Linked DNA regions of Caenorhabditis elegans. The protein of the gene in region 2 purifies or fractionates together with the protein of the main gene of each other region. This does not show direct contact. Each region holds a gene or a part of one and is shown on either strand. Other genes may lie near its edges.

The links. The genes of interacting proteins can lie anywhere in the genome.
Region 1: the proteins of nspg-9 (region 2) and nspg-14 fractionate together in Caenorhabditis elegans (co-fractionation; one large-scale study listed by BioGRID). This does not show direct contact.

What each region holds. Positions count from the first base shown.
Region 1 is NC_003284.9:5,250,210-5,256,242, reverse strand, and holds nspg-14 (DUF19 domain-containing protein), read right to left. Parts: upstream 3,197-6,033; 5' UTR 3,121-3,196; coding exon 3,078-3,120; intron 2,444-3,077; coding exon 2,345-2,443; intron 2,296-2,344; coding exon 2,175-2,295; intron 1,920-2,174; coding exon 1,857-1,919; intron 1,807-1,856; coding exon 1,715-1,806; intron 1,664-1,714; coding exon 1,546-1,663; intron 1,487-1,545; coding exon 1,344-1,486; intron 1,293-1,343; coding exon 1,276-1,292; 3' UTR 1,175-1,275; downstream 1-1,174. Other genes in the region: nspg-13 (DUF19 domain-containing protein), read right to left, coding at 328-482, 532-584, 812-936, 998-1,049; Y34B4A.10 (aECM cysteine-cradle domain-containing protein), read right to left, coding at 3,613-3,681, 3,733-3,891, 4,027-4,147, 4,211-4,605, 5,041-5,603.
Region 2 is NC_003282.8:14,454,438-14,463,857, forward strand, and holds the start of nspg-9 (DUF19 domain-containing protein), read left to right. Parts: upstream 1-2,462; 5' UTR 2,463-2,562; coding exon 2,563-2,584; intron 2,585-2,585; exon of another isoform or gene 2,586-2,606; intron 2,607-2,743; exon of another isoform or gene 2,744-2,765; intron 2,766-2,962; exon of another isoform or gene 2,963-2,983; intron 2,984-3,365; exon of another isoform or gene 3,366-3,386; intron 3,387-3,503; exon of another isoform or gene 3,504-3,527; intron 3,528-4,085; exon of another isoform or gene 4,086-4,110; intron 4,111-4,246; coding exon 4,247-4,466; exon of another isoform or gene 4,467-4,487; intron 4,488-4,568; exon of another isoform or gene 4,569-4,589; intron 4,590-4,670; exon of another isoform or gene 4,671-4,691; intron 4,692-4,749; exon of another isoform or gene 4,750-4,770; intron 4,771-4,874; exon of another isoform or gene 4,875-4,895; intron 4,896-4,989; exon of another isoform or gene 4,990-5,014; intron 5,015-5,210; exon of another isoform or gene 5,211-5,231; intron 5,232-5,376; exon of another isoform or gene 5,377-5,397; intron 5,398-5,414; coding exon 5,415-5,502; intron 5,503-5,627; coding exon 5,628-5,691; intron 5,692-5,832; exon of another isoform or gene 5,833-5,856; intron 5,857-6,048; exon of another isoform or gene 6,049-6,069; and 19 more.

The sequences.
Region 1 (6,033 bases), on a different chromosome or scaffold from region 2:
TAAATGCGCAGCCGACTTCGGTTGTGGTCAGCGATGGACCTATTTCCCATGTATATCATATTTTCCTGCGTCTCTTGAATGTTTTTTTTAAACCTAATATGTGCTAGTATTCATGCCTATTCTAATCATAACTCAGAAATTCCTCTAAGAGTCTCATAATGTGTATAAATTACCACAGCAGCAAGCCCCAGAAAGTTTGATTTCGACACTCCCCGTGTTTTCCACCTATTCTAGAAACTTCATACCATGCCAAAAAGATGTGTAATTGTGTACTCAACAAAATTCAATTCCGACATCGCGTCGGGAAATGACAATAAAAATTCATACTTTGCAATCCAGCTCCACAGACAAAGTGCATTTGGTTGAACAGTCCAACAAATTGATAAGCGTTGAATGGAGTGGCCGATACAGAAACAAAATGGACCGCAGACATGCAGTTCGCGTATTCAGAGCCCATGCAAACTTTAAACTCGCGGAAAGCTCTGGAATTATATTCAGGATTCGAGAGAGAGTATCTAGTGAAGTACTGACTTGCAAACTTTACGCATTCCACTGGGTCCTTGAGCCTGGTAGTTTGTCTCCACCTAAATTTAATCAATAATTGTGTTTTGCTCTTTTTTCTGATAATCAAAAAATCAGATTATAATACAATCATGATGACATAATTAATCCCATTGACTTAAAAGTTATCATCGACACGTTCTAAACCTCACATTTCACATTTCACTATGCACACCCTTCGTCATATCACCTTATTCAGTTATCATTTCATGGAATGGCAAGCGTGGAAACTATTGTATTAAAAACTTGCCTCCTTGCGGAAGTTTTCGGGGTCAAACCATGGCTGTGGGTCGCTGATGCTCAAAACCGCATTGAGAGCAGTTTGGCACTCAAAATAAACCGTCGAGTCACAGTTTAGACCGGCTGATTGGACTCCTGGAATAAAAAAATAAGATTAAAACAAATATTTCACAAGTTTTAATTTCAATTTACTTACCTGACAATCCAAGAATCAACGCAAGAAATGGCAAACACCGGTCTTGCCACATCTGAAAGCATAATGTGAGCACAAATATGTATTTTTAATTTTGCAAAAAAAAACACACACACACACAAAGTCAGAAGTATTCAATGCATTGAAGCATTTCAAACGAAAACAAATTTTTGAAATTAAAAAATTATGAATTAAATTACATAGATTTATTCCCAAAAATGTGAATTCAAATAAAACATTTTGACCAAAACAAAAAATGGAGATGATTAAACAAAAGACGATCAGACGCGTTCGTGGACTGAAAATAAAATAAACATTATTTAAACCCCATCCCATTCTGAAAACCTACATGTGCAGAAAATCTGAGAGCACTGTGGGAAGAGAAGATTGGTACCGGTACGCTCGTAGTTGCAACCCCAGTAGGCCATCTCTGGCTTCTTACAAGCGTTCCAGAACAGTTGGAAGTAGCAGTTGGCTGCGATCTCAACGTATCTAGAAAGTTAAGATTATTCATTATTCTTTTTGATTGGAAACAAAACTTGAAAACTTACGCGCAAGCTTGAGCTGGGTCAGCCATGGACTTCACGTTGAAGTCATTGTCGCACTGTCTCATTGCAGCTGTCTGGTTGTTAAAGACAGAAGAGCCGCAAACTTCAGAGTTGGCAAAGACTGAAAATTCAATTCTAGTATTCAGTATTACAGTATAATTGCTAATCTTACTCGAGAATCCAGCACCACAGACAAAATCAAGTTGGTTCCAGATTTTTACGTATCCATTAGCCTGATCCTGTGTGAGTGGGGCGCCGTTGTTGCTGAAGAACAGACAAAAACTGTTACAGTATATATTGAATTGAGAACTTACTTGGTTCCAGTTAGAAGACCGTATGGGTTCTGAGCACATGCGTAGAACTGTTCTTTTGGTTGGCTATAAATCAGTTGATTTGAGATGTAAAAATTAAAGGATCAAAGGGTGTTCCGTTTTTAAACTCCCACTAGGCTTTAGTTTCAAGCCACGAGCCATTAGTGGATTCCTCTAATTCCCAAGCTAGGTTGGGTGATCCTAGGGAAAGGCAGGACTTGAACTAGTGGTCTCATGATTGCTTGCGATCACCACACTACCGACTGAGATATTCCCGTCGCACATTGTGAATCTCACAACATTGCAAACTATGTCACTTACTAGCACTGCTTGTACTGCTTGAAGGCATCGCAAGTTGTAAGAAGCCCGTATGCTTGGTTATTGGCATACGACTGCTCAATGGCACTTCTCAAGTCTTGATATTTGGCAGCACCGAGAGAAGCTGAAACACCAAAACTTTTGTGCTTAATTCTATTTTTCAGTTTCATTACCATCAAATCCCAAAAGTTGATTGAACTGACTCTGACAAACATTTAGCTGGTTATTGATATCGCATGCCGTTAAACTTGGGTTTTGTGCCGCCACAACGCCTGAAACTTTTCATTGGTTTATTTTTTAAGGTCATGTCTCTCAGTTTTTTCCCAGAACTTCTAATAGGTTGAAAAATAATCGAGCCTGGAATGTTTGGTTTCTAAAAGTCGTATCCAGTGCCACCGTACATTTTCTTTTTGATAAGAAAATGCCCGCCGCTAGTTGTGACGCAACTAATACCAACAATCACATTAGATTTAGGAAATTACAGTAGTCTAATACTTGTGCAGATTTCATTTTGGGAACGTTCCCGATCTTGCAAAAGTTACTTAGTCATAATAGTATTTAGGCGTTACCGGGCAACACGTGGAATTTTTCGTTATCAAAACTGATGATAAGTAAGCAAAAGCAATCCGGTTAGTGCAAGACTTAATTCTGCCAATCTAATAACTGTGGAACGGTCTTGTTTAGTTTTGAATACTTGTAAATGATGGGGTAAAGGCAATGAGAATGCGAGAATCAGGAATTGAACGAAATTTTGAAAAAGAGAGTGCCTAGATAAATCGTTGTGAGCAATTGACATTTGAACTATGAATTTTTGAAAAATCGGTAATCAAATAAATAGTGCCTAGTTTTTACTAGAATTTCGATTAAAAGCGCTCCATGATACAGAGAATCTGTCAAGAATCTTACCAACTAGTACAAAAACAGCCAGGCAATAATTGGTAGAGCACATTTCGCGGGGAAGCAGGCGTAGTGCAAAGTCGTGTCTCCCGTTATCACTTTGCCGCTGGCACTTCTGTCTGAATCTCCACCTTTCGAGGGCCGGCTCGCTTTATGGGTTTGCCAACCATCCCCTTCTCTTCCCCACCTCTTTTTCTCCTTAACGCGTGTATGTGCACGTTTATCGTTTCGTTTATTATGATAGTCATACCCTTTTTCAAATTGCATTATCACTTTTTTTTCAGTTTTGATGGAAAATGAAAAAGGGAGCGGCTCTGAAAATGACGAAAACTCTTTTCAGTCCTAAAATGACGCCAGGAAACAAGGCGTGGCTGGTAATTACTTGTTACAGTTCCAGATTTATTAGAAAAAAAGTCATGGAATCTCATTATTTGTGGACAAGGTAGAGAATACATTTGTCAGGGAAGTTGGTGACATTTAGCAATAAAAAGATCAAAACATGGCATCAAAAGTAGAAATACACAGTTTGGGAAGATGTATGAGATCATTGGTTGGTTACAAGTATTCCTGTTTCACAGTAACTCATCAGATGCTGGATTTGCTCGCAGGTGGACTGAAAATAGAATACTTGAATGCAAAAAGACTATAAATTCGAGAGATATACCGCTGGATGGAAGCTCTGCACCAGAGGGCAATTGTTCTTGGCGAATCCGACAAGGTCTTTGATTCCAAATGATTTGGATATTTTGCCCACGTATTCGCAAACTTTGTCCAGTTGTTCTTTTGTCGGCTCTACGGCTGCAGCGGACGGTGAAGAAATTCCCTATAAAAATATGTGGCTTCGATTTTAATAGCTTCTAAAACGATAGCATTGATGATAACCCATGTTTGACAGTGATGTCGTGTTCAAACAGAAAAAAAGAGAGATGATTTGGGTAAGACGAGGCAAATGACTCACAGTGGGTTGCAATGTCGCTGATCCAAAAGAAGCTGTGTTTGGCTTAGCCAGTTCTATTTTTATTTCTCGAGGAACTGTTGCGGCTGATGCCTCTGGGGTGCCGGCAGCTTGATTGTGTTTTCTGTAATGCAATAAGGAAATAGTTTGCTTAAACATTTTGAAATCTTTTTATAAAAACACTTACTGATACCACTCAGCGTAATATTTTTCATAGTACGCTTTAATTGACTTGTCGTCGTCGATAGCAATTGATTCAGGCAGCTGTGTGAATTGGCTGATTGCATATCCAAGAGACGGTTTTGATGTTGTGACCACTACAGCTTCGTCTTCATTCCATCCACCGAGATAAGACTCGCCCACTTTGCTTGGAGCAACTGTAGTCGGCAATGTTTTAATTACAATTGCAGATTGAGCTGTTGGTGGTGTAGTTGTGACTAATGGGGTGGTGGAAATTGTTGTGGTAGTAGTGGGAGTTGTTGCGGATTCAGTTGTTGGCTCAGTAACAATTTCCGTGGGTACTGTGACTTCTGCTGGAGCCTCGGTGACTTTTGTGACTTTTTTCAGCTTTCGATGCTTTCGCTGGAAAATATCAAATTCAATTTTAAGTTCGCATAAAAAATAAATTCTGTTGTAATTGACAACATTTATTTCGAACGGTGTTAGTTTAGACCTTCAAGAAAGGTCGAGGGGATCTACAATACCAATTTGCAATGCTTGGAAATAAATCATCAAAAATAATTTTCATGCGACTATGTAGTAGTATACCTTGTCGGCAAGCTTTAACTTCAATTTAGTCTACTTTTGTAGGCCAATTTTCAAGAAATTATAAGAAGTTAAAATTAGTATAATTGGAATAATTGGAAAATTGAAGAATTTCTTGAACTTTTTTGAAATAAAAACGCCCACTTTTGTATGATCAAAATATCAGGTTCGAAGCCGTCGAGCCCACTAGGTTGGTCTCATCCGCCCTTTTAACAGGAATTATCAATTTGAAATTAAAAAAATCAACCCTACTCTATGACGGCGTTTCTTGGGCGTTTTAGCTGTAGTTGTTGGTTCTTCTGTTTCGGCAATACTGGTAGATGCCACTTCAGTCTGTTGGCTTGGCAAAACTTCAACAAATTCAATAGGAGCTTGAACAGAGCCCATTGTTGGATAGACACGCTCTTCTGCGTAGTGATGCTCTAGGGGAGTTGCTTTTGACACTTCAGAAATTGGCTCAGGGGCTTCGGAAGTGATTGCATGTTCGGGAGTAGTCGATTCGGATGTTGTCACAGGCACTTCTGGCGAAGTCGGAGCTACAGATGACGAAGTTAGTCCGATGTTCGATTTTTCGTCGAAAGATGATGGAGAATCAGTCTCCTTGATTATTGGCATAGATTCAATATTGAACTCTGTGAACGAGAGCGCTGATGGGGACTCATTTGAAGCTGGAGCAAACTCTGATGAAATTTCAGACACCGTTTCAGAAGATGGAACAACTTGTATTGGTGCAGCTGGAGTAGTTGGTATAAGTGACTCCTCTGATTCAATTTCAGCGGGTTTCACGAATATTGGTTGAATGGTGTCAGGAACCCCTGAAATGTGGGACGTATAAATTATTTTTTGTGCAAGGTTTTTTTTCTTTCTAACTTGTTGCTATTTTAAAAACGTTTTGACAATTTTTTTTACTTTCAAAAAGTGGTATTTACTAGGTTTTTCCCACTTTTTTTGATAATACTATAGCACTGTTGTATGTTTGAATTTTCATAATGTTTGGCTATTAATATAAGTGGACCATAAAATTTTAAAGAAAGTTATTTTTGATCAACGACGTCCAAAAGTAGCAAAAACTCAGAGACTGCAACTTTTTGACTGTCAATAAAAAATTTCGATGTTTTTTGAAAAGTTTACTGTGGTATTTGATCATTTTGGCAATATTGGAGTTGTTTTAAACAATTCCCTCACTGTTTCCTTTTTGTTCGAATGTCTAAATTAAAATGCAATTTGTTAATTTTTTAACTTTTT
Region 2 (9,420 bases):
TAAAGAATTGCTCTTTCTGCGATGTGGACTCCGGTTACCTGGTAACCACAAAGGAAATCATCCACAAAATTCTCTCGATAATTGTTATCGGAATACTCACAAGACTCATGGAGTCACTTTCACATAAAAACGTATGCCTTTCACTCGATAGAAAGTCTTTCTTGGGACCTGGTCCATCAGATCATGATTTTTTAACGCGAAAATTACCAAAGTAGCTTGTTAGAGATAAATAGATAAAGAGATAGAGAGAGCGAGTGCGCGAGTGCACGAAAAATGGAAAGAGAAAAGTTAAAGAGCGATAAGAGGGAGAGAGCGATGAACTAAACATTATATAGTAAAAAAGCTTGGATAAAATAACAATACCGAAAAGAGCGCGTATGACAGAGAGATAGAGAAGAGACAGAAACGAACATATATTCTCCAAGATGAGAGAGAACCACTGACCATTTCGAAATGGACATAAAACTTAATGAAGTGCCCAAGTTGCAGGGGAAAATCAGCCTTTGAGCTTCCGAAAGTACGCTTCCTGAGCGTTACAAGTAAAAACTGAGAATTTAAATGAATTCCTCCTGCAAATCCTGCATCTGCTCAGATTACTCTTGAAAAACGTAAAAATTACCACATTTTTATCATTACGAAACGAGAAAAACGCTTGAAACGCAACAGAATCGAGTAAAATCGATAAATAACCTAACAACTACTAAAAATTTGATAAAAATACAATAAAATCAAAGAAAAATCCAAAAAAAATCGATGCAAATCGATAAAATCACGTCCTTTTTCGTTACCAACACGTAGAATGATGACCATTCGCCGCTGCGGCCAAGGCAAGATTTCATCGCGTCGAGACCCATCGAACACTAAAGGCGATGCGCCTTTAAGCTGGCGCTACGATACTCGCTCCGCTTTCTCGGGGAAAACATATAATTATGAAATGTAATTTTTTTTCTCAATTACATATTTATTTAGTTTGAGATTCCTACAACAACATTAATTTCTAACACATATGTATAGGTACAAATTTTGGAAATTTAGTGCCACTGTTTCTAAAAGTTCATAAAGTTGCAGTTCTAATTTTTACTTAGTAATCTTTTTCTGTTCAATAGTCAATCAAAAAATGTCTAGGCTGTGCAAAAATCGAGTTTTTCAAAGATGTTCAACACTTTTATCCTATCAATATAATGTTGAATTTTTTGTTGCCTGCAAATTGATTTAAAAAAACATGCAATTTCGGCTTTTAGAGGTTTTCTAGGCAAGATGTGAGTGTTCACTGTTTCAGCTTGTACAGAAGTAATGAAACAACTTTTTTATTGCTTCATGTGTTCTATAAAACTCGCCAGAACAGGCCGTTGAGACTGTATAAATTCTTCACTGTTTCAGCGAATTTTTAAAGAGTTCCATGCAATTTAATGTCACTTTAGTGGTCACTTTGGTGTATATTTTCAACAGACAAAAGCTTTTATGTTTCTGAATATTTCGAAACAGTAAATTCCCAATGCTGATAGTGAGTGAAATCGGAACGTCAAAACGAATTTTGCACCTATTTAAAGTTCCAATTTGCATTTAAGATTTTCAGATTTTAATTTGAAATTCCTACGAAAACATAGGTAATTTCTAGCGCAATCCCCAAGAAGAGCACCTAATTTTGTTTCGAAATTCAGTGCCACTGTTTCTAAAAGTTCATAAAGTTGTAGTTCTAATTTTCACTTAGTCATCCTTTCGTGTTCAATTGTCAATCAAAAAGTGTCTAGGCTGTGCAAAAATCGAGTTTTTCAAAGATTTTCGACACGTTTCTCCTAGCAAAATATTTTTTATTTTTTTGTCGTCTTAGAGGCGCGTTATTATCTCGGCGAGATGTAAGTTTTTACCGTTTCAGCATGTTATTAAACAGAGGTAATAAAAAATGTTGCAATTATAATCTCACATGCGATGAATATAAAACTACCGAAACATACCGTTGAGACTTTATAAATTCTTCACTGTTTCAGCAAATTTTGAAAGAGTTTCATGCAACTTATTGGCAATAGGCACATAATGTTCACTCTGGTGTATATTTCTAACAAACAAAAGCTTTTCTGTTTCTGAAGATTTCGAAACAGTAAATTCTCTGATAGTGAGTGAAATTGGAACGTCAAAACGAATTTTGCACCTATTTAAAGTTCCAATTTGCATTTAAGATTTGAAGCTTTTAATTTAAGATTCCTATGACCATGTAAGTAATTTCTAGCACAATCCCCAAGAATATCACCTAATTTTTTTCGAAATTTAGTGTCACTGTTTCTAAAAGTTCATAAAAGTGTAGTTCTTTTATGAAGTGTAGTTCTTTTTGAGAAATTAACAGAAAACAACCACACCCATACTCCCAACCCCAAATCGTCATTTCGGAAATTCTGCCACTTTTTAATGCCATTTGTGTTGGCTCTCGCATGTGTGCCGACACCTTGATAAGGATTTTATTGGGGAATTGGGAGTCTGATAAGATGTAAAAGTGCCACGAAGAATTGGTTGACACTTGGTTTTGCTATTTGAATTAGAATAGTTACCGAGAAGAAGCTCGTCGAAATGAAAGGATTTGTGGTTCTAGGTGAGCAAATTTTTGTTGTATATTGGAAAATAAAAAAAAAGATAGAAGAATATTAATTTTTTGAAACGGAAAAAAATATTTTTAAAAATTCGAAAATGTTTATTTAAAACATTGTCTGTTTCATATCATTGTTTTCAACTCAAATGAAATATTTAAATATTTTGAACCGTTTCCATAGTTTGTATCGTTAAAATATTGAATTTTAGAGCTTTAAAAGTGTTCTGTCAATGTTCTGAAAAAAATTAGAATCTTCGAAAAATTTTGAGATTTTTCTTTTTTGGTCAACTTACAAAATTTTTAACGGCAAAAACTGAGTAATAATTCATGATATTTGATTTTTTTTAGCCTTGAATTAGAGGTTTTTAACATTTTTCCTATTTAGCTATTGTCACATTTCCAGCGCTACTAAAAAAATTTGAATTTTTAAATCACTATTGTGAAACAGGATTTTTTTTCCAATTTAAATTTTTAATTCAATAAGGTCTATCAATCTCTGGTTGTATTACTCTTTTGAGCACAGTTCTTCTAGAAATAACATCTACGACTGACAAAAAAAAAGCAAAATCAACCAAACAGCCAAGATGTGGGCGGAGTTTAATATGAAGTTTTCTTGGTACTTTTTAAAAGTGTGAATCTATTTTTGTCTTGAATTCAATTTTGAAAAAATATACTCCACCCATATCTTAGCTTCTTGTATTTTGGCTCTGAATTTAAAAGTTTGTTTTAAAAAATTTTGTTTCATACCATTGTTTTGAGCTTCAAGGTTTTGATTTTAATTCAATTTTCACTCGAAGAAAATTGAATTAACATGAAATTAAATTAGCAAACTGTGAATATAGATTAAGTGGGGACTTTGATTCAATATGAACACTTATCTAATGGAAAAAACACTCCAAGTAATTTTAGAGCTTCGAAATGTGATGCCAAAGTTTTCGACGAATTATCGGTTTTTGTTTTAATCTGCGCTTATGCAAAATTTTTGAAGCAAATTTTGCATTTTTTGGCTCCTAAACTGTTTAGCTACAAGTATTTGAAACTAAATTAGAATATAAAAATCTCAGAAACTTTTTTATAATTAGAGGTACTTTTATCAGCGATACATTGGAGAACATATTGGTTTTTCGAAATCACAATAGTGAAACAGGAATTTTTTTCCAAATTTAAGTAAACAAGATGTAAGTTCTATTACACACACTTATTTTACAATTAGTAAAATTTTATTTTACCGCAAAAATTGCAATACAAAATTGCCCAAACAACCAAGATGTGGAAGGGGTCTATAATTACATTTTCTTGAAATTTTAAAAACTTTAGCTCTGCTTTTTCTATACTTGAATTTATGTAAAATTGTGACTACTACTCAACCTTAAAAAAACAAAAATTTTCAAGAAATAGACTCCGCCCATATCTTGGTTCTTTTTTTTCTTTGGTTTTATAATTTTTCTCGTTTTTTTTCTTGAATGAATGAAAATACGCAAGAAGTGAAAAATAATACATATCACAAACGTCACAAATTTTCTAACTAATGGGCAATGCTCTTACTTTCCTTATTTGGCGATTTTCCAAAAATGTAAAATTTTTTGAATTTGAAGTACGAAAATTTTCCAACCTCAAAAAAAATTTTCCTCCAACTTTATGAATCTAAAAACTTCAAATTTTCAGCCCTTGCCCTCTTGGCTTCTACCCAAATTTCTGCTCAAACTCCTCCAACATGCGTCGACGCAAAATTCCAAGCTTGCCAGTACAATATGGCTCAAAGCCTCGGGCTCAATGATACGGTATCTGCTCAATTGTTCAAGGACTATACTATCATGTACAACTACTTCCTGTACATGTTCGGAAGAAATCCAGGACAGACTGCCGATATGTTGACCGTTTGCAAGTTAGTCTTGAAAATTTATCAATGTTGAAGTTAGGAAGAATATTGATTTTAATACTTTGTGAAACAGTAACTTTTCGATTAAAAAAGTAATTTTGTAATTTTTTCTACATGTCCAACAGCCCAACGAGACATTTGAAAATTCAGAATTTTTAACAAAACTTTGAAACAATGTTTGTTGGAAATTATAGAAAACAAACAAGACCGGTTTTGAAAAAACAGTATTTACTTCTTTGAATATTTTTAACAGTTTGAAATAGAGAACTTGGAGCATTTTTTTTTTCCAATTTTTTAACACACCCTAGAATTATGTTTTTAATAAAGTTTAATTGTAACTAGAAATCGTGTAATAGTGAGAAATGGTTCTCTCAAATTCCATAATTTTCGAGTGAATGCTTTAAATTGTAAACACTATAGGAAGTATCTGTTCTATCGATGTTTAAGTTGAAAATATCAATTAAAAAGTACACCAAACAGTAATTTTTCGAAGAACAAACATTTTTTCCATATTATGATTCCTTTAAAAGTCGAATGTTTATTGAAGAGAGTGACTAGTTATTTGGAAAGTCCCAATATTTTTTTGAAAAATTTGAAACAGCGATTTTTTTTTAAATTATATGCAACATAAAAGGAAAGAGCACTGCAAATTCGAAACTGTTTGAGAAAATTTTAATGTTTTAAATGGAAAAAATGTTCTGTACAATTTCACTAACTTTGTAAATTCAATTCGATTTCCCGAAAAGTTAGTAATCCAACGTTTATTTCAGACTTTAAGCGCATTTTTCAAAACAAAAAATGCAATTGGAAATATTTTAAAACAGATCGAAAATTCTCACTGAAAAATCAAAAATTATAAAAAATACTTTACTGTTTCACAAACATTATAATACAGTTTTTAAAAATTGTTTTCCACTCATAAAATAATAAAATTCCAATTTTCTAAAATTTCAGCAGTCTCGAAACTTTCAATCTCTGCATGCACGGAAACCGTGGATGTTTGGACATTTACAACCTAATCAAGAAGACTGACATTAATAATGTAAGTTTTGGAATTTAAAAATACGAACATTGGAACAGCAATTAGTCTTTTTCAAACAAAAAAAAACAGAAGTATTTCACACAGAAAGCCAAGAAAAATGAGAAGAAAATCTTCGAAAATTGCAGGCTTACGCGGTGGAGGCAACCTATAGACAATACTCGTCCTTCAACTGTGGCCCAGGAATTAATAGTTGGGTTTTTTTTTTTGGAATTTTGAGGGGAAAATGTAGAAAAATTTGGGGATTTTTTTGAGTTTTACATTGAAATGTAGTGCGAAATCTATTTTTCGAACAGATATTAGCAGTTTACCACATTAAAAGTTATTGGAAATTTGAAGTATTTGAGTTAAATAATATTATTGAAAAAATAAACTTGGAGTTTTCACAGCAAATTGAAACAGTAAAATTTTTTTTTTTGGAAAAAAGTATTGAATTTTAAATTTTATAAAAAAATGAAATTTTAAATGAATTTCGGAAATTCTGTAAATCTAGTATCTCGTTGAAATGAATTTAATGGTTTTCGAATTTTGTTACATTGATTTTAGATAAATTGATTTTTTATTCAAGAAATAATAAAAATAATAAACTAGACAATCTGAAAATAATATGAAACAGAAAATAATTTTTCGTATAAATTAATTTTCAAATTAAACTATTTAACTATCTAATTTTCGTTGTTTTTTGCACAACGATACTAAATTTGAGATGTTCAATCAATCCAATGGAGCTTTGTCGCAAAACTATGTTTATTAATATCCTACTGCGACTAACTCAAAAAAAATTAACTCGAAGATTTGAAAACACATTGAAACACTAGAAATTTTTCAAAAAAGTTGAAGAAGTGTTACCATAAAACTTGTCAAAAAGTAAATTAGTGTACCTATGTCCAGTTTGTAGGCGTGGCTTGCGATGCTCCGCCCTTTTCTCTCAGAGCAAGTAAATTTTGTGGTAAATGCAGTTATTCGTTGAATTTTAATTTTTTTTAAAGTTCTGTAATAACATCATTACCATATATAAAGCGCTATTCCGTTTGTCTCTGACGTCACGGGTGACGTCACAACATTCAGCGCAAAAATTCAACTGAGAAAATTTTGAGGCTACTTATGATGAATGCGCACCCGACATCGATCGAGGTACGCGATAAACCACTCGACACTTTCCGAAAACATTTTGGCGGGAATTCAAATTTTAATTTTTCTAAAACATTTTGGCGGGAATTCAAATTTTAATTTTTTAAAATCATTTTGGCACTTATTCCGTGTGTCCATAGTTTGTAGTCTATGTAGTCTTTGTAGTCTGTGACGTCACAGCTTAAAGAGGCAATGCGTTTTGAGATGTTTGAGAGATATTGGTTTGGGGTTAGAAGGGGGATATGGTCGGGGTACTGTAGTAGTACTGTAGTTTTAGAAAAATAAACAATTTTTCGAAAACATTTTGGCGGGAATTCAAATTGAAATTTTCCGAAAACATTTTGACGGGAATTCAAATTTAAATGTTTTAATAATATTATTGTGGAATACTTTAGAACACTCTGGAAAATTGGAGAAAATTCTGGAATGTTCCAGAACCTTCTTGGAAATTTGGGAAAGTTCTGGAATCTTCTTGAATCATCAGGAAAATTGGGGAAAATTCTGGATTGTTCTAGAACCTTCTCGAAAATTCGAGAAAATTTTGGATTGTTCCAGAATCTTTTGAAAAACTCGAGAAAATTCTGAATGTTTGTGGCGAGACCTATCGTGGTTAGACCCATCATGGTGAGACCCTTAAAACTTTCGGTGGGAAATTGCTGGAAATAAATATTTTGCCGCGAAGTTCGAATTTAAATTTTTTTGAAATCATTTTGGCGGGAATTCAAACTTCAATTTATTGAAAACATTTTGAAGAGGTGTTGATATAGGAGTTAGTGGAGAATAATGTCAAGGTACTGTAGTGGTACTGTGGGGGGGGGGGGTACTGTTGGTAGGTGCCCGCGCCGTAGGCGCGGTCAACGGCTGGTTGGTAAACACGAACAACCAATAACAAAAAATCACTTGACAATTTGAGAATAATATGAAACAGACTTTTTTCTCAGTCAAACCGTTAGTGATCTAATTGTAAAAAAAAACATTTTTAATTAGATTTCGAGCAAAGTTAACACAGTCATAATTAGAAGGGTACAAATTCTAATTTAAAATGACTTTTCTAATTTAATTGAATTAGAAATGAAAAACTAATTTAGCATGGGGGAAATAAAATACAGTTTGGTATTTCAAATTAGTAATGCTTGTTAGTAATGTGCCAAATTTAAAATGGTTTTTATCTAATTGGATCACTAATGGTTTGACTGAGTTGTCGCTCAAATTAATTTTTTAATAATTCGAAAATGTATAATTTTCGTAGTTTTTTCTCAAATAGACTAAAGTTTACGCAATTTCGAATGCAGAAGAATCGGCTAGAATATTGGAAAAAAAATTTTGAAGTTTCAAAAGCAAGTTGAAACAGTCGATAATTTTTTTTTTTAAAAACCGAAATTTTACATCTTAAGTAATCGGCAAAACATGTCTAAAACAAAATTAATCTATGTCCATTTTGTAGGCGGAGTTTACAAGGTTCCGCCCCTTTCTTAATGAGCAAATAGACTTTCGGTAAATGTAGTGTCTCGTTGAAATAAATTTTATGGTTTTTGAATTTTGTTACAATGATTTTACATAAAAGGATTCTTATTGAATAACCAATAATAAAAAATAACTTGACAGTTTGAAAATAATATGAAACAGAATATAATTTTTCGCATAAATTACTTTTCAAATTAAACTAATTGTCTAATTTTCGTAGTTTTTTGCACAAAGATACTAAACTTGAAATGTTCAATCAAAATTTTTTGTTGCGAAAAAATAATATTCGTTCAGTGGAGCGCATTTTCTTTATTGTAAATTTTATATATTCAAGTTAAGCTCTAAATAGTCCACATAGCCATCGAATATTGAAAATAAATTAACCTGAATATTTAAAAGCAAGTTGAAACAATCGATAATTTTTTTGAAAAAAAAAAAAATTAAAACTTTAAATGCCACAAAGCAGGAATAAAACGAAATTAATCTTTGTCCATTTTGTAGGCGGGGTTTACAAGGTCCCGCCCTTTTTTGCAGTGACTTCTTCAATAAGTTATTTTTGAAGCAAGCAAAAATGGAAGTGAAACAATTAAAAAACTAAAACTTTTTGAAAATAATATGAAACGAAACATATTTTTTTCGGGCAAATTATTTCCCAAATAGTTTTTTTTCACACTGGCTATAGTTTATAAACTCAAAACTTTCAATCAGAAAGTCCCAAACGTATTGATTTTGCTATTAACATTTTTTTTTGTTCAGTGGAGCGCAGTTGCATTGTTGAAAACTTTTTAAAAATTTTTTAATAATACCTAGAACTTATACTAGTATTGAAAAAAAAATCACTTGAAGATTTGAAAGCATATTGAAACAGCAAATTTTTTCACAAAGTAAAAATTTTTTTTTTCATTTTAGTGAGCTACAATACATATCTAAAAATCAATTTTGAAATCCAATAGAGCGCACTTTCAGCTCTCGAGCACGAAGGCCTCAGCTGCCCACAACGAGTTCTCAACACCCAATCAAATATTCTCATCGGATGCGTTCAAACCTACATCACCAACGTGGCAAATGACGCTACAAACGGTTGCAAGTGAGTTGTTTGCTAGAGCGCGTTTGCAGAGTAGATCAAAAAACTAATTTTCAGGTACGGTCAAGACCTCATGAATTGCTGGTCAGCCCCATTCCAGACTGCTCCCTGCCGCAGAGAAGCTGGAGTTGCCACGTGGTGGGCTTGTGAGCAGAATAAGGTTTTCGTGAAGACTACCTTCCCAAGTTGCCCATTGGCTTGTGATGGTTTGTGCAGTAGAGCGCTGTTGCATTTTGTAAAAT